Linked DNA regions of Schizosaccharomyces pombe. The gene in region 1 interacts genetically with each later gene. Each region holds a gene or a part of one and is shown in the gene's direction. Other genes may lie near its edges.

Region 1 (4,968 bases):
TGTAAGGAATTTATCGCACTCCTCAAATCCCCTTCGCTGGCAGAACAAATATTCTCCACCAAACTCAACAACTTTGGAGACTTGGGAACACCCTCTTTACGTAGAATAGAGCCAAGGCATTTTTTCATGTATGTCGGCGCAATAGGATTAAACTGTAAAACTGTTACACGTGGATCCTGAAGTAGATCATTACCCATTATCTGCACGCTATTAAAGGAATTTCGATCTTGACTATTAATACCTTCCAAGTTGTTTAACTGTATTTCTGTAAGAACCATGATGATGGAAAAGGCGCCTCGCGATGTCAATGCGGTGCGAATGACATTACGAAAAGCATCAAGAGAGCCATTGAATTTAGAAAGGTGAGGAATTTCATCCAAAAAAATAAACTTTTTCTTTCCTTGTGCATTTTTTCCACGCTTTTGAATATTATTTGAATCCATAAGCTCTAACTCTGGATAAGTTTCGCATAAAGACATAAATCTACTAAACTTTTCCGTGAGCGAAAGTGTATCTGATTCTTGGTTTGAAGGCTCTTTTAGGTTCATAGGGTTTAGCCATTCTATGAGACTATAACCTAATTCTTTAGCCAAGACCTGAACTGCGGTACTCTTTCCACAACCAGAAGGACCACAGATCAAAAGTAACCTCTATGATTTTGTTAGCCAAGAAATATTTTTGAGAGAATTAGGGGAGATTTAACATACACTTTCTAAAGAATCCGTTAACATCCATTGCTTAATTGCACTTATTTTGCTTTTATGCACGGCAAGATCAGCCGCTTTTTGAGGAATGTATTTTTCAAACCAAACTATGCGCACCGTTAATTTTTGAACCTTTTTAAATTTTCTTACGTTGAAATCGATCTTCTTTTAAATTATTGAGATGAACAATTTTGTTTTCTTCATCAGAAAAGGCTTCAATATCTTCTTCATGAATATCGGTTATCGAAGCATTTTTGTCGCGTGAAGTTTTTGAAACTAGAGAAGGTTTTTCAATCTTTCTTATTTTCTTCTTTTTTAATGATCTCTTTGTAGATTCATGAAACGACAACTGTCGCCTCATGCCAGATATATGTTTTATTCAACAAAGAAATAGGAAGCTAAAGGTAGAGACTTTGTAAATCATTAGATAAAATATATATTAATAGTTCACAAAATTTTAACAGCACAAAAAAACGAGTGAATTGATTAATTTACTGCTGACAAGTAAATGTGTGAACTAGTGAAAATATACAAGTACTGTATATGGAAGAGAATAAGTGAGTAGGTTTCTTAAGTACTCTGAAACTGCTTCCTATAAAGAAGAGTAAAAAAGACATGTGTATAATTTATTTATAAATCATTTATTTGTACATTTCTCTTATTGTAAGATATATTGCGAAAGTATTTATTACAAATTTACTTTTTTTTCTCATACTGTAAACAATGATCATCAATAAAAAAGTTAGCTTTTTAATTAATGAACATCTGAACGATAAAGAATGAATAAATAAACAAGTAAAATAGTGATATATTTCAATTGAGAAATTACTCTAATGGACACAGAAATGTATTTCTCTTCATTTATAAAATCAAACAATTGGCATTTTCAATTATGTCGTATATGAGTGCATTAGGAACTAGCAGCTGGAAAGGCAAAGCTGTAAATATTAAGAATATAGTAATGAGTATATTTAACCTTGATTTGGATTGCGACATTACACTGGAAACCAAAGGAGGAATTGTTTCATTAGAAGCAGTCTAATAATCCAATGTTGCTGCATCAAAACTCCCTATTTTGTTGATAAACATAGTTAGCCGAGCTCTAACTCTTTAAGAACCGATATGAACTCCATTGGGAAATGAGCAAGAATAGAAATCAACCAACACTACAGAAAGTTCATACCCATACATCTAATGTGGTACTTTTAATCCCCTATCCATCAGTATTTCGCTTGGCTTAATTATATTTGATGGGATGTATTTCCTTTTTGGAATTGATTTTTCGCATAATACTGGAAACAGAAACCCTTGTGAGCAAAGAAAAACTTGGGAAACCCACTTGATTAATATGGCAAATAATTTTTTTCTTCAAAATGGCATTTATTTTCCATTTTGTATTTACCATTCAAGTAACATGTTTTTTTGACAACCTAACCCTACCTACCGGTTTCGACATGTGTTCCATCCATCCTTGGGATTTTACTAACACCAACAATCGTTTGGCATAAGGTGAAACTTGGAATTGCTGTTGGCTGTAAATTTCATCTAAAGTCGGTCGCTCTTTTGACTTTTGCATAAAAGAATTGTACATAAAAACAACAATTTGGAGTAATTTCAGAGTCTACTTGATTTAATTGAAAAGGTTATCGACAGCTTGCTCGACTTTATCAAGGAAAAAGGTAAGATGAAATCGAGTCAAACGCTTGTTTATTCGATCCCTAGAAATGTGGAGAAGGACACATGTGCGGCAGCCATTAAGGCATATCAGTACCTAATATCTCCGCCGCCTTCTCCCATTCCAAATGACAAAGTTGCAAGTACTGTTGATGTACCTAAGTGTTCTACAATACCTGAATCTCCAAAAGATTCTATTGTGGAACCAAAGCCGACAGCAACACCTGTTGCGCAACTGCATTCCAAGGTTTACGATCTGTACCGAGATTCACCTAAAATTTGGCTTCGCCGAGAAAGGCAATGGCTTCAGCGTCATTCTCCAGCATACAGGTTTTCGACTCCAGCTGCCAAACGTCCAAGAAGGCAACCCAGCTCGTTTCTGGATGTGCACGCTTCTAATACCCGTAAAAGAGGTTCTCCTGATACGCCGGACTCGGGACATTCAACTCCGCATTCAAAAGGAGATGTTCATCCTGGAATGCCTCAACATAATACGCGTTTCAAGCAGTCCAGTAGGGAGTTTTCCTCCAACACCCAGGCCATTGATGTCGCCAATACACCATATGAGCTATTGCCTGATTATTCTCCTGATATGTCTGTTTTGGATAAACGTTCTCATCCTCGCCCCCTTCGTAGCGAATGGAAGGGCCCTCCCCTTGATCTTTCCAATGATGAGAATAGACACCTTTTACATCCTGCTGAGCTACAGTTGGCTGCAACACTTCGATTGCCTTGTCTCGTTTATCTTGACAATAAGCGTAGAATCTTTGCTGAGTGGCACAATCGCCGTACTCAAGGCCTAAGCTTTAGGAAAACAGATGCTCAACGTGCTAGTCGTGTCGATGTGAACAAAGCTAGTCGTCTTTGGAAAGCTTTTCACGATGAAGGTTTCTTTGACGACTAATTCGCGAATCGTTCATAATCCTGCTGGCCTTTCAAAAAATAGATTTTTTCTCTCTTTTTCTCTTTTGGCGGGTTAGGGAAATAATCAAATTTAAAAATTTCGAAAAACCACGGATTTCATTTTCGTTGGATTATTTATTTTTTTCTAGGTGTTTTGAATTTTTTGTTTACAATCATTTGCATCTCGGTAAAACCTTTCTTTTTTTTTTTGGATATTTCGTCTTGAAGTCGGTGTCCATCGTTTTATCTGGCCAATAACCAGTAGTATATACCTCAAGTCCCTCTTTTCTTCCTTCGTTCACTTTTTGTTTTTTTATCCTCCCAAAGATGAAAAGCATCATGTAGTCAGCATTTGTATTAAAAAATTCATTAATACAGATGTGAAATAACTCTCTTTTAAAAACGTTCGTTTCTCCTATTTACAGTAGATATTGTTATTTTTATACCTAATAACCGATAACCATCAGTTCCCTAATCAGACGGATTTTAGGGGTTTTTAGTTATTTTACTCTACTCAATTAGATCCAATGCTTAGCGGATAATTAATAATTGATTATTTATTCTTTGCTATTAAATTAATTAAACCATAGAAATTATAATGGATGTCCGACGTTAATATCCCAGTATTAATATACCCCAGTGTTGTAATGTAATGAATATATGGTCAAATCCAGCTTTTCTTAATCCTTGCAAAAAAAGTAAATCGACACGTAAAAACTTGCAATACCCGTGCAAATTTTAGTAAAAACCGATAACATATATCCCCAAACCAATTAACCAATATAATAACCCAAGAGCCCTGCTCTAAATGAAGTTTTCAATCTTATTGCAATTTTCAACTTCACATTGCATCTAAATCAAGAATTTACTGAAATGTTATCTTCTAGCTTTCTAAAAATTTATTGCATTTAAATAGTAAATCCAACGTGTAATAAAAGTTGGAAAAATCCCATGTTGAATGATATCGAAACTTCTCAAGTAAACAATTTAACAAGCAAACGATCAGGTTCAATGAGATTTTGATAAACAGCATCCTTAAGTGCAAATGACATGTTGACAATAAGAGAAATAGCCAAAGCTGTTCCTACAATCAATGGGCCCCAATAATCAGTCATTGGCGCAGGACTGCGGGACTTGATCATTTGAGAACGCTTGGCATGAAGCTTCCAAGCATAGAACCCAATGAAAATAGCTAAAAGAGTATAAACTACTCCAAAAGCCTGACCAAGTCTTTCTCCAGCACTATTATATAATGCAAGAGCAAGAGAACCAAGCAAGACCACGACATGAAGCCACTTCAAAAACGTACGCTCATTTGCAAGCCAAACTTTGGCCTCAACCTTAATCGGACCACTGACTCTAAGCGGAATCTCTGGTTTCTTGATATGGGGTGGAGTAACAAACGTTTTACCATGATGCTTAAACGATCCATAAGTAGATGGCTTCAGCAAACCAGGTATGCTTCTGAAGTTGAAATGGTCTCCGTGCTCATTTCGATACACCTCTCTATTATCTTCGGGCTCTTCTGAAACAGGGTGCATTTCATTGGCCTTTAAACGATTGACCAAAGGTGAGGGTTGACTAGGTTCGGGTGTCATATTCTGCTTTAAAACTCTTTGATTCCTACGTTTAATGTAAACATTTCGAGAGCCCGCAGATCCCTCGGGATGGGAGTACACCTCTTGAA
Region 2 (3,655 bases), on another chromosome or scaffold:
AAGATGACTATTCTAAGCGCAAGAAGCAGCAGATATTTATATACAATCAATCCGGATATCTGCTAACACTAAGCACCCCGGCTACCACCAAACCAAAGTCTGATTTCGGCACGACTACATTGGAATTAAAAAAAATGAATGAAGTTGCAAACCTGGTGTAGTTCGCTATTAGACTTTAAGATTTTGGACCCACAATTGTTAACTGAAATAACGATGCAAATTACGGACAAAGTGTTACAGTAATATTATGCGATTAATAATACAACGGTGTAATATAATGATATTATTATTACTGAACTTACAAAAATCTGATATTCCAATACTTAATAATTTAATAGAACTAAAGAACGAAGTTTCAGTTGGAAATGATTTTGCAGTCTTTTTGTTTTATATAAATTTATATTATATAATAGCAATGCCTACTCTCTGTGAAATGGAATTATAAATGATAATGTAATACAAAATGAATACTATTGTGTAAAGATGTGCAAACATTGTACGAGCTGCTACATAATATTGCATAATAAAGATATTTTTACATGTATATCACTAATAAGAAGTTGGGCATTGAAGAGTATTAGTCTGCTATCTTTGCAAATTGCTTCTAATATGTATATAAATAGCTTGGGAGAAAATTATTATTAATATTTAGTCTTTAGTAAGATCCAACAATTTAATTTATTAGAGCTACTTGTTTCATGCCGTTCTTAAATGTCCAGAAAAAAGATTTATTCATTCCAATAGAATAAATTAATATAATAAACAAGCATTCCCGCTATTCCAGCGTTAATATAATGGGTTTCATATGCATATTCAAAATGTATATAAAGGGTATACTAGCCACATTGTCATGTGCAGCCCTCGCTTAAGTAATAGCTTAAAACAACTGTGGGGTTATTGAAGAAATGAAAATGTTAAAAACGTAAAAGTTGTTTGTTTGTACGGTTGGACCCTCTAAACACTTTTTTCTATTCTGACATTTAATTAATTTTATGATGAAGATTTTTTTTATGTTCAGTAAGTAAAGCGATGCCTTATAACAATATTACAATGGTAATGGTATAAATAAAGATAAAAATTTTATAGCAATTGCAAGAATGAGTACTTTTGAAAACTCGGTTATTGGAGAATCAAGCTGAAGTGGTTGAAGCGAGCTAGTAATAACTCACTTTAAAGCATTTACCAATTGAAGTCTCACAAGCCTTTTGATATTTCGAAAAGGAAGGAATTATGCTAGGCACTCAGCATAAAAAGAACCATTTTATATGATAAAGGGCAAAGGGAAATTAATTTTCTCTCTATAATAGTAAGTATACTGTTGGATATTTATTCCAAAGGAAATATAGGCGGTGAATTCTACTTTTATCTTCTGATCTCTACGCTTTTATTATCAACCGTAAGAGTCTTTCTTTTATAGTAATAACAATCCAGTTAAAAAGGGATAAAAATACTTATCTTCCTTTTTATATATTACTAATCCTAAAAGAGCTTAGAAATAAGCAATTTTTTATTAACTAGTTCTTTATAAAAGCATATTTATAGAGAAAAGCATTTCATGAAATTATGCTATGTACAGCGAAATACGAAAATAAAATACCTCCTTTGACTAGAACTGTAAGCAACAAAGAGTAAACAATAAAAGCTTGTAGTCATTAGCAAATTAGATTTTTTTATCAGTAGTCTCGATATTAGATGAGATATGTTGACATAATCTGTTTGCCAGTTCTTTCTTTAAATGAGTTTTGTTTATAGAACCGTTTATTTCAACTCATCTTCCAATTTTTATTTTAACATATTTTATTAGCAAATGTAATCGTTGGTAAAATTCGCCTACAACGTCAACATTCAGTCAAAAAGCACACCTAACTACTCCCATCTCTATTACTCCCCGTTCATATTTTAACTTTTTAGAAAATGTCTTTGACATCCGTTTTATGGAATTTCGTCGCCAAACTTGCTGTGGACCATGGATTAAATACCAATCCTGATCAAGTCTTTCAAACCGTTGAAAATGTAGGCAAAAGTTTCGAAAAATATGAAACGTCTTTCCTAAAATCATTGTTCAATGGAAATCTAGGATTGAGCTTGCCCTCAGCTATTAATATCTTGACTTTGATTATAGTGTTATACTTCTCTTTGGTCATTGTAAATAAGACTACCAGTATTGCCCTTGCCCTCTTCAAAACACTTGCTGTAATTTCTTTTTTCTTACTAATCGGTTGTCTCTTTGCTTACTGGTTTATCAATAACGGATCTTTTTGAACATTGACTAGCAGCGTTATCTTCTTTGTTTTTTCAGATTACCGAGTACAAAGTGTTATGGATATGCTTTAAAAAATTTTATTTTAGTAATATATTTTTCATCTTTTTTGTTCCTCATTTCATTTATCATTCAAGATGGTTTCGACATTATTCTTGATTTTAGGACTGTATACGAAGAATGGCTAAAGGCCTGTAAAATATTTTTTAAATTAAAAGCATAGTATTGAGTACATTAAACATCTTAACAATTTGCGTTTGCAATATAAAACTTCAATTTCAATTAGTTACAGTTTTCAGAATTTATTTTTTTTTTGCAACAAAAATATTCAATTGACTTATCAGTGATATGAACGGAGTAATTCTATGAAATGTGAATATGAAAAGGAAGCCATCTCAAATAATACTTCTTATTTGCACAGCAGAAATTTGATTATTGCTTGGCTCAAGTACATGGTGAGTATGACATTATTATTGAGAACGACCTGGCATTTACATCCAATGTTTTCCTTCATCAGAGTTACGCAAACGCATAGACTCGATTTGGATGAAACCAGAGGTCCATGTAGGGTCAAATCCACCAAGCTCATCCATAGATGACAATTTCTCGTCATAAAGATGAGCAGTATCAGATTTACGACCGAGGACAGTGACATTGCCCTTGTAGACAGAAAGTTTAACTACACCGTTTACTACCTCTTGAGAAACGTTGTTAGCTGCTAAAAGCATACGAGTGCAGGGAGAGAAAAATTGTCCATTGTACAAAATTTTAGCGAGATTGAAAGTAACGAATTGGTCACGGAGAGCACGAACTTCACGTTCCATTGTTAAACCTTCCAAGTCCATATGAGCAGTACGCAAAATGGTTAAGCCAGGAGTTTCGTAACAACCACGACTCTTCAAACCAGAGAAACGGTTTTCAACAATATCGATACGACCAACACCGTTACGACGAGCGATAGCGTTCAATTGGTAGAAGATGGAAACGACTCCGCTAAAGGTACCATCCTTGCACTCTAATTTGGTGGGAGCACCCTTTTCAAAGTGAATGCTGAGCTCTTCAACCTCATCAGGAGCGTCTTTGGGATCAACGGTGAGCTTCCACATGTCCTTGGGAGGAGTCATACTGGGATCCTCGAGGATTCCAGCTTCATACGAGCAATGTACAATGTTTTCATCCATAGACCAAGGCTTTTTGGTGGTTTGAGTAACGGGAATGCCCTTAGCAGCAGCATATTCGAGCAAATCCTTACGACCGGCGAAGCGCTCGAAAAATACAGGCAAACGCCAAGGAGCAATGACTTGAACGTCTGGCTTCAAAGCGTAATATGCCAATTCGAAACGAACTTGATCGTTGCCCTTACCAGTGCAACCGTGAGAGACAGCGATACAGTTT
Region 3 (5,544 bases), on another chromosome or scaffold:
TTTCGGCAATCCAAAAGAAATCATTGCAGATAATGATCATATTTTTACTTCCCAAACGTGGAAAGATTTCGCACATAAATATAATTTCGTTATGAAATTTTCGTTACCATACAGACCACAAACTGATGGACAAACTGAGCGTACAAACCAAACTGTGGAGAAATTACTAAGATGTGTATGTAGCACACATCCAAATACATGGGTAGATCATATATCCCTAGTGCAACAATCTTACAACAATGCGATACATTCAGCAACTCAAATGACACCTTTTGAGATAGTACATCGCTATTCACCAGCTTTATCACCTTTAGAGTTACCTAGCTTTAGTGACAAAACTGACGAAAACTCTCAGGAAACGATCCAAGTATTTCAAACAGTTAAAGAACACTTGAATACAAACAACATAAAGATGAAAAAGTATTTCGATATGAAAATACAAGAAATTGAAGAATTTCAACCTGGAGACCTAGTTATGGTCAAAAGAACGAAAACAGGTTTTCTTCATAAATCCAATAAATTAGCACCTAGTTTTGCAGGACCGTTCTATGTGTTACAGAAGTCGGGTCCAAACAACTATGAATTGGATCTTCCAGATTCAATCAAGCACATGTTTTCATCTACTTTTCATGTTTCTCACCTAGAAAAGTATCGACATAATTCAGAACTCAATTACGCTACCATTGATGAGTCTGATATTGGAACAATTCTTCATATCCTAGAACATAAAAACAGAGAACAAGTACTCTACTTAAATGTCAAGTACATTTCGAATCTAAATCCGAGTACTATTATGTCAGGATGGACTACATTAGCTACAGCGCTACAAGCGGACAAAGCAATTGTCAATGATTATATTAAAAACAATAATCTAAATATCTGAGAACATATGACTTATCCTCAGATTTACATAGAAAATCTTGGGGAGGGCAATGTCAGCAATACTACACTACGCTATAATACACTACGTTGAGTATCACTATATGTCACATGTTCTAATTATATATCGTACCATGTATGATACGATATGGAGATTGATCTTAATGATAATCTATTAAGATCAATATTATCTGAATACTATAAATAGAGCTACTGCTGAACCTCGTTCCTCAGTTCAGTTATGAGCTATATTAGTGATAGGTAACATTATAACCCAGTTAATACAATACCTATACTCAGTTGCTACTTATACAACCTGTGTATCGTAATATAATAGATCACAAGGAAAACTCACCGCAGTTCTACGTATCCTTAAATCAGATACCAAACTGCGTAGCTTACACTTAATGAGTTTTCAAAAAAATATGCAAAACCAAAATAATGAGGAAAACATCATGTGAGATTAGTTAAACGAAGAATGAGTCTCAGCTTGGAAATTTGTTAATTATCAAGCTTCAAGGTATTCTGCTTGAACTTTGAGTTGAAGAATAAATGGGTTCTTTATTTTGAAAGAGTTTGCGTTATGATAATTACTCTTTGGTTCGGCTTAGTGGTTCGGCACAATAATTATGCCGGAAAAAAACAAGATCCGCAAAACCCTCTATATATATCGACTTGCTGGCAGCTTAAAACTTTTCAGATCAGGTAAGAAACTAACGCAATAGTACCCTTACACAGTTATACAACTATTGACACATGTTTCATGGGCCACAACATGTGAAATGTCGGCCAAATTAAGCTTGAATTAAGCGAGATTTATAGTACCTTGAAATATTCGTTTTCATTTGCGAGTTTTCTCGTACCACTACAGTATGAAGCAGAATTTCTCAGAAAATAATACTTAACAAAAAGTTAGAGCTTAAAATATAATCCAAAATGGTTGTTAAGATTTTGAGAGCTGCCGTACCTCTCATATAAACACTCACCGCTAGAAATTAAAAAATAAGTGAGATGAAAATATTAATGTCAATGAGTATCTGAGAGCTTATCCATGCAATTTTCTTCTTCCGAAATGCCATCTAGCTTTAACGTTTGTTTTCACTCACAAGAAAAGTCGCTATAATGCTGAATTTTAATAGACATTCAGAATAACTGAGAACCTGCTAAACTACGTTAAGCTCATCTCTTCACATACCGAGCTCTTTCCAACTTCAAGTATTATGATAAGCAAGTTTCTTGAAAGCGATTCTTAAGTGAGTATTCTGCACTACGCTAGGCATAGATAACGGATTCGTTCTTGTGCTCCGCATTCGAATCTTAATTTGAAAAGCCTTCTTCTACCATGTAAACATTACCGTAATATCCACATAATCCTTTTGCTTTCATGAATTCAGTCAATTCTACAGGTTTTTCATAAAAACTTTTAATTTGAAGCACATTTGTTATATAAATATTGCTTTTCTTTGTCAAATATTTGATCCGTAAAAGAAAAAGTTCTCGCGGGACGTTTTTCGGTTAAAAATACATTCCTACAATTACTAATCTCGTGTTCAAAGACTAAGCAAAATGATGCTACCAAAGAGAAACATTATTCATTTCCTTCGTAAAAGGGCAATCTTCATAGTTGCGGCTTTCATAGCATTATTGACTGTTGATTATTCGCTCAACACCATTGAAATCACTGACTCAAAGTCGGGACCCTTCTCACTGAACACTCCAATCGAAGATATAAGGCTGGTCGAGTGCTTTTCCTTTTCTCCCTTTTGTCGTCCCGTTTTGGAATTTTGGAAATGGGCCCGTACTAGTCGGAATCTGTACCGTTCCCGAATTCCTTGGAAGCGTGCCTACCTTTACGTGAAACGACCAGCACTGTATATTCCTGGGGAGACTGTCTTAGTTGAACAGGTATATGTTGATCGACAGCTGGAAAAGCGTAACAAGCACGGTATTCAAATTCGTTATGGAACGGATGGTGATATTTGCGAATTTAATACATTGTTGGGTGAGGATGTTGTTGAATTACGAGAGGGTTGGTCTGCTGTTCTAAATGACTTTATTTATTTAGGACAGCCGGTCCTATTGACGCAAAGACCTTGTGAAACTCCTCCGACGCCATCTATTGAAGCGCTTAAGAGAAAGGAGCTTTCATCCGTAACCCTTACTTATGATGACGAAGAAAAAAAGACAATTAAGATTCTTCAGCTTTCTGATTTGCACTATTCAAATTCTGACAGACCGTGTCGCGATCCTTATCCGTATGAGACTGCAGAGGATTGTATGGCCGATGCAAAAACTACTGCTTTCGTGAATGAATTATTACAGTTAGAGGAACCGGACTTTGTCCTTTTGACTGGGGACTTAATTAACGGCGACACGTCACGCGACGCTAGAAGCTCTTTGATGAAAGCGGTGTCCCCTTTTGTTGATTACAACGTCCCATTTGCTGTAAATTTCGGAAATCACGATGATTTGGGAGATTTATCGAGGGAAGAGCTTGCCAAAATTTTGAGTCAGATTCCTGGTAGTATGGGTTTGATTGGAAATGTCTCTGGTGTTGGTAACTTTGTTTTACATAGTCCCCGAAAGTTTGCCATTTACGTTTTAGATACAAAGGGAGATACTTCAAATCGAAGATTATGCCCTGGATACGATGCTATTACCGAGGATCAACTGGAGTGGCTTTCTAGTAAAGTTGCGGATTTCAAGTACGAGCCCATTCAAATGGCTGTATTGCATATCCCTCTGAAGGAGTTTTGCGAGACTGAAGACCTTGTTGGTGCATTTCGAGAGCCCTGTTCTTATTCCATTTGTGATCCAAATACTGCGAAAGCTTTGAAAAGTTTACGTATTCCTCTTGCTATTGCAGGACATGACCATGTAAATGATTTCTGTGGAATCCATCCAGATTATAACACATACTTTTGCTTTGCTGGAGGTGCTGGGTTTGGCGGATATGGAGGACATGGTGGCTACGTTCGTCGTGCAAGGGTTTTTGAGTTGGACCCGGTTGAGCGCGCAGTTCGTACTTGGAAACGCTTGGAATGGCCTCCTGAAGACCGTAAGTTGATGCTGGACGTACAAACTATTTTAGTTTAAACAATCACTCCTCTCATTATATAACTTATTTCACAGCAGGATATAATTTTCTTTTTCTTCTATCTTTACGATATTTTTATTTTCTATTCAATCTTCATCCCAATTTTATGGGATCCTTCTTTTCAAAGTGAATTTCTTATGTTACGGAAGTAATATACTAATTAATATTAACGAAATTTTTACGCTCTTCCAATTACATACTTAAATAGTTTTGAAATGTGTTTGCTAATAATTAATTCCACATTCTACCATTTGCAGTTGAGATCCATCATATATTTTATTCCAAAATACAAGTAAATATGTCCATCCACATACGCAATACATATATACAAAATATATATATTCATTTATATAACAATCGTCAAACCTAAAGGCTTAGTCACACTTATAGCTCGCAAGTACGATTTATTTTTTGTGTTTTGTTAAAAAAGACTGCCATAACATCCTTAAAATCATAATCTGGAAACCTCAACATACGGAATGCTAGCAGTAAAAAGGGTAAAAAAAAGTAAGCTAAAAAACTCCTAACAAAATGAAAGAAATCGGTATACCTAACTGGTTGCAGCTAAAATATTTAGGCCTCAAGCTTAGCCTTCAAGATGGTACGAAGAGTATCAGCATCCTTGGCAAAGGCAGCGATACCAGTGGACAACTTGACTACAGCCATTTCGTCGTTGTTAAAGTCGAAACGGAACTTGGGCTCATCAGTAAGGTAGGAAACCTTCTCCAAATTGAGGCTGGAAGCCTTGGAGGCATCAAGCTTCTTGGGGACAGCGTCGGTGCTGTTGTTGAGCTGCTCAAGAAGGGCGGGGGAGATGGTCAAAAAGTCAACACCAGCGAGTTCCTTGATCTCACCGACGTTACGGAAAGAAGCACCCATGACAATGGTCTTGTAACCGAATTTTTTGTAGTAGTTGAAGATGTTAGAGACACTGACGACACCGGGGTCTTCTTGAGCGGTATAGTCACGGTTATTCTTAGCCTTGTAGAAATCGAGAATACGACCGACGAAAGGAGAAATCAAGGTAACGTTAGCCTCGGCGCAAGCAACAGCTTGGACAAAAGAGAACAAGAGAGTCAAGTTGCAGTGGATGCCCTCTTCCTCGAGTTGCTTAGCAGCTTGGATACCCTCATAGGTGGAGGCAATCTTGATGAGAACACGCTCACGACCAATGCCCTCGGCTTCGTACAACTTGATGAGGTGACGAGCCTTCTCGATAGTAGTTTGGGTGTCAAAAGAGTAACGAGCATCAACTTCGGTGGAGACACGGCCAGGGACGATAGCGAGGATCTTGGTACCGAATTCGATCAAAAGACGATCAAAAGCAATCTCAATTTGAGAGTTGATGGAACCACCCTTTGCCTTGGCATAGTCAACAGCAGCGTCGACGAGAGCAGCATATTGGGGCTTCTTAGAAGCGGCCAAGATGAGAGAAGGGTTTGTGGTGGCATCTTGGGGTTTGTATTTGGCGATCGATTCAAAATCTCCAGTATCGGAGACGACAACAGTGCCAGTGGCCTTTAATTGTTCCAATGAAGACATTTTGATAAAACTACCTCAAAAACTCG
Region 4 (4,125 bases), on another chromosome or scaffold:
TAAGAATCTTTCTGGAGAACAACAGAGTAGAGTAAAATGGTTCAACCTTACAAAACCTGCAAACGTAGCAGGATTTAAAGACCTTGCGCGCATATACATCTCAAAATCAGAAAGCTCTGGAGGTGCCGAAACAAATGTCGTATCCGTTAAGCACATTTCATAAGAATCACCGGCCAAGAGATGTTCTTGGCAGGCTTTCACAGATTCACAGTATACCTCCTTTTTTGGAAAACTTTGAACCAGGCCAAAATTTTGCTTCCCATCGAAACTATGTAAGCAAGATAGGTTATCCAGCTTTGTGTTACAAGTGGAAGCTAACAATTCGCCCCACCACTCAGAACAAGTCTCATTTAAAGGAGTAAGAGTCTGAACGAATAATTTTTTAATCTCCAAGTCGAACACAAAGGATCGATCAACAAAAGCAAGTTCGGCATCAACTGTGGTTTGTTGGAAGTCCAAAGGAAAAGAGGCATTTGAAACAGACTTTGTAGATAAATCACTACATTCGTAACCAATGATACCCATAATTCCGCCGTAAAATGGCAAATTGGTATCTGGCTTAATTGCTTTATGTTGATTCATGAAATCAGCCACTGTGGACCACAAATCGTTGTTTATACGGACAAAGCTATTATCCTTGCAAATTCTAATCTCAGTAGTATTCGTTGCTTTCTCGTAATGTATAATTCGTGCCAAAGGACCTGTTAAAATTCCAAGTATAGAATATCTCCCAGGTTTTTTCGCTGAATCTAAAAAGCAAATTGGATTCCCGCTTTTTTGAATACAATCAGCTAACGCTAGTGGTTCAACCCAAGGGATTTCAACACTGTGAATTTGAAGAGAGGGAGAACCACTTTTAAGAATGAATGCAGCCGGAGAAATATCATACCGATTAAGATTATGCGAGAAACCATTTGCTGATTTTGAAAAGGAATTGACACATTGTATATTAGGAGTATCTGCTAGAGAAAGGAAATTTTTGAAAATTTTCAAAGATTTTGATGACCCAACGCTTTCAGGATGATAAAGTATTCCAAAATGTGGAAACTTTGTAGCCTTAATAGACATAACTATGTTATCTTCATCCGATTGAGCTAATATTTGTAAAGAATCGATGGGAATTTTGTTCGCGTACAAACTGTGGTAACGCATTCCTTTAACCGCTGAAATTCCATCAAAAATGAAAGTTTTTGAAGTAGTTACAGATGACACACGGCCATGCCAAGGAAGATTAGGCATTCTTTCTATAGTGGCACCGTGGTATAAAGCTAATGACTGAAACCCCAAACAAATGCCCATTACTGGGATATTTAATTGCCAAATACGATTCAAAATAGAAGAATATTCGGCAGGATGTCCAGGGCCCGGTCCTACGACAATGGCATCAAATTGAAGTATGTCTTCCCATAAATCAGGACTCATTTTATCCCAATGAACAACAATAACACAGGCATTTTCACTTGCTTTGTAAAGTAAGTCATAAAGGTTAAAAGTGTATGAGTCATAGCAATCAATTAATAAAATTTGTAAACGGTTTGAAATTTCACTCATGATAGATACTAATCAGCTAAAACGACCTTAGATTTACTCAAGAAACATTAATTTTTTAACGATATGATTGAAAAGAGAACTCTGGTATTAAGAGGTTTTAACTTTTACAAAGTAGCAGGAGTAGGAAGTGCGCAAATTAAATTCCAGTTTCCAATTTGTTTAGAAGCTTCTGACATTCTTCGGGATTTTACAAATCATACAATTCCATTTAAGGTAGGAAAAGTGTAGGCTATCTAAAGTTTTATTATTCCGTTTATTTTCAAAGAATAATTCGCAATCAAAAACTTGAAGGCGAGAATAATAGAATGGGAAGCAGTATTTATTTTGAAAACAACCCTTTGAATATGTGCAATTTTCATTGTCAATAGAACATGAAGCAATCAACAAATATATGTATTCTTTTTTGCTTTAATATCATTGATTCACCTATTAATCGAACCGAACGGTAGTAAATTTTATATTAATGCATTTACAGCCTGATCAGCGTAAAGATCTCAATGACAATTGATAGGACGGCTTGTATTACTGTTTTTTTTTTCTAAATCCTGATTAAGCCTGTATGTTTCTTCTATTTGGTTGTCAAGGCTATCACATTTTGTTCATTAAAGGTATTGTCTACTTAATGCTTCTAACGTCAGCAGCTAATTAAAATTATTTCAGTACATATATTCATTTATAAGAGTATTGTTACCATATTAATAATAATAAAAAAATATGGATTTTAAGAGTCGAAAATATAAAATTAAAAAGCATCCGAAGGATTGCAAACTACATGCTAAAAAATACCGGGGTACATTGAATTCAAAAGGGAAAAATGATAATGATTGTTTAATTATGTGTATGAGATGCAGAAAGGTTAAAGGGATAGACTCTTACAGCAAAACTCAATGGAGCAAAACGTTTACATTTGTTCGTGGGAGAACGGTTAGCGTTTCAGACCCAAAAGTGATATGTCGTACCTGCCAGCCCAAACAGCATGATTCAATTTGGTGTACCGCTTGTCAACAAACTAAGGGCATTAATGAATTCTCTAAGGCACAAAGACATGTCCTGGATCCACGATGTCAGATATGTGTACATTCACAAAGGAACGACGGTGATGATAATTTGGAATCTGATAAGTTCGTTGATCCTTTCATAGGTGATGATTCTGACTTAGACGATGATATCTACATTCATGATAAACAAACCATAAACTCAGAATACGCTGACGATGTTTCTGATAATACTGACGAAGAGCGAACTGAAAGCAAGGGGCAACAGGAAAGCAATTCAGCTGAAGAATATGATGATGATGACTCTGATGAAGACAGGATGGAAGAGATATTTCAGCAATTCAAAAAAGAAAAACAAATTGTATAGAGACACGTTTTATATTCATCCTTATTTGAATTATGTAAAGATTTGCTTACGATCCCATTTTATATGATAAATTATAAAGGTCCATTAGTGCTAATGTAGACCTTAAAATATGTTGAATTTAATTTAGATCTTAAATAAATAGATATATGTATATAGTAGTAAAAGGTAAGGAATTGCGAACCCTGATGTAAACACTAGCGTATATTGAACCCATTAGTTTCAAGCAACGCCGTGTCTAATTTTTTTTTTAACTTTTCCCTACTGGAGTATTCCCAAATACATAAGTGATTGAAGCAAGTATGAGAGATAGGAAGTTGATCACTGTCAGGTCCGAGAACTGAGATTCTTAATTGAAAATTATGTGCCCCAGTAGCGGGAATGCGATCGCTTCCTGTGACGAAAATGAGAAAAAGTTTTTGCATTTTTAGCGAATAGTGTGATATCAAATCCCAAAACCAAAGTATTATTTTTCTTTTTGATACGAAAGAGTGGCAGAGATATTTAGATGCAGTCATACTTGGTTCACTTTCAGATATAGAATTTGAAATCGCATTTTGGTCATAAAAATCATAAACGCAGACATTTTTGAGTAGCTCCCAGTCAATAACTTCTTCACTTCCTCTGATCAACTTGCTGATTTCATTGTCTTGAAACAACGATATGGCGTTACCTCCACATACTTTCATAAAGCCATCGAAAAAAGCAGAAAATTGTTTTTTTACAGTAGTATTTAAGAGATAATCTACATACCTCAAAACATATTCTTTTCTGTTCTCATTATCAACACTCAATTCAGAGCCTCCTTCTTTCAACTCAACAGTGCGAAAGCCCTCGACAGCTTTGAGATTAATTGTAAAATTAAGACCGTAAGTATTTTTTACATCTCCTTCAAATAGTAAAAGCTCTTTTAATCCTCGATATAGACTAGGCTGAAAATCATCCAAGTCATTGAAACTTAGAGGTAACTGTAAAAGTTTTTTATAGAAAGCTCTGGGCATCTGTACATCCAAATTTATTGAATTGTGGATTGCAATTCCCATCAATATACCTGACATATGATAGTAATCAATTTCTTTCGACCTGTGTGAATAATTAAACCATAGATAATTTGAAGACTCTTCACAGTTCACAAATAATCCAAACTCAGGGCTAAAAACTTTCCTCGTTAAAAGCAGCAACCATTCTCTCTTTAATCCTCCTGCATCGATTCCT

The links.
Region 2: mutations in laf1 (region 1) and apq12 together harm fitness less than expected from each alone (positive genetic interaction), as found in Schizosaccharomyces pombe (one large-scale study listed by BioGRID).
Region 3: mutations in laf1 (region 1) and dcr2 together harm fitness less than expected from each alone (positive genetic interaction), as found in Schizosaccharomyces pombe (one large-scale study listed by BioGRID).
Region 4: mutations in laf1 (region 1) and stc1 together harm fitness more than expected from each alone (negative genetic interaction), as found in Schizosaccharomyces pombe (one large-scale study listed by BioGRID).

Annotation. Positions count from the first base shown.
Region 1 is NC_003424.3:5,249,455-5,254,422, reverse strand, and holds laf1 (clr6 L-associated factor 1 Laf1), read left to right. Parts: upstream 1-2,188; 5' UTR 2,189-2,388; coding exon 2,389-3,282; 3' UTR 3,283-3,903; downstream 3,904-4,968. Other genes in the region: RFC-like checkpoint protein Rad17, read right to left, coding at 1-650, 708-811, 855-1,065; vtc2 (polyphosphate synthetase), read right to left, coding at 4,256-4,968. UniProt on the Schizosaccharomyces pombe protein: Component of the RPD3C(L) histone deacetylase complex (HDAC) responsible for the deacetylation of lysine residues on the N-terminal part of the core histones (H2A, H2B, H3 and H4).
Region 2 is NC_003423.3:447,020-450,674, forward strand, and holds apq12 (nuclear membrane organization protein Apq12), read left to right. Parts: upstream 1-1,914; coding exon 1,915-2,262; 3' UTR 2,263-2,379; downstream 2,380-3,655. Other genes in the region: arg12 (argininosuccinate synthase), read right to left, coding at 2,752-3,655. UniProt on the Schizosaccharomyces pombe protein: Involved in the regulation of lipid homeostasis in the endoplasmic reticulum, thereby impacting nuclear pore complex biogenesis and localization, and nucleocytoplasmic mRNA transport.
Region 3 is NC_003421.2:773,472-779,015, reverse strand, and holds dcr2 (phosphoprotein phosphatase), read left to right. Parts: upstream 1-2,244; 5' UTR 2,245-2,445; coding exon 2,446-3,975; 3' UTR 3,976-4,226; downstream 4,227-5,544. Other genes in the region: Tf2-12 (retrotransposable element/transposon Tf2-type), read left to right, coding at 1-883; tal1 (transaldolase), read right to left, coding at 4,550-5,518.
Region 4 is NC_003423.3:3,689,989-3,694,113, reverse strand, and holds stc1 (CLRC complex-Argonaute linker protein Stc1), read left to right. Parts: upstream 1-2,198; 5' UTR 2,199-2,265; coding exon 2,266-2,913; 3' UTR 2,914-3,106; downstream 3,107-4,125. Other genes in the region: abz1 (para-aminobenzoate synthase), read right to left, coding at 1-1,551; mug30 (ubiquitin-protein ligase E3), read right to left, coding at 3,108-4,125.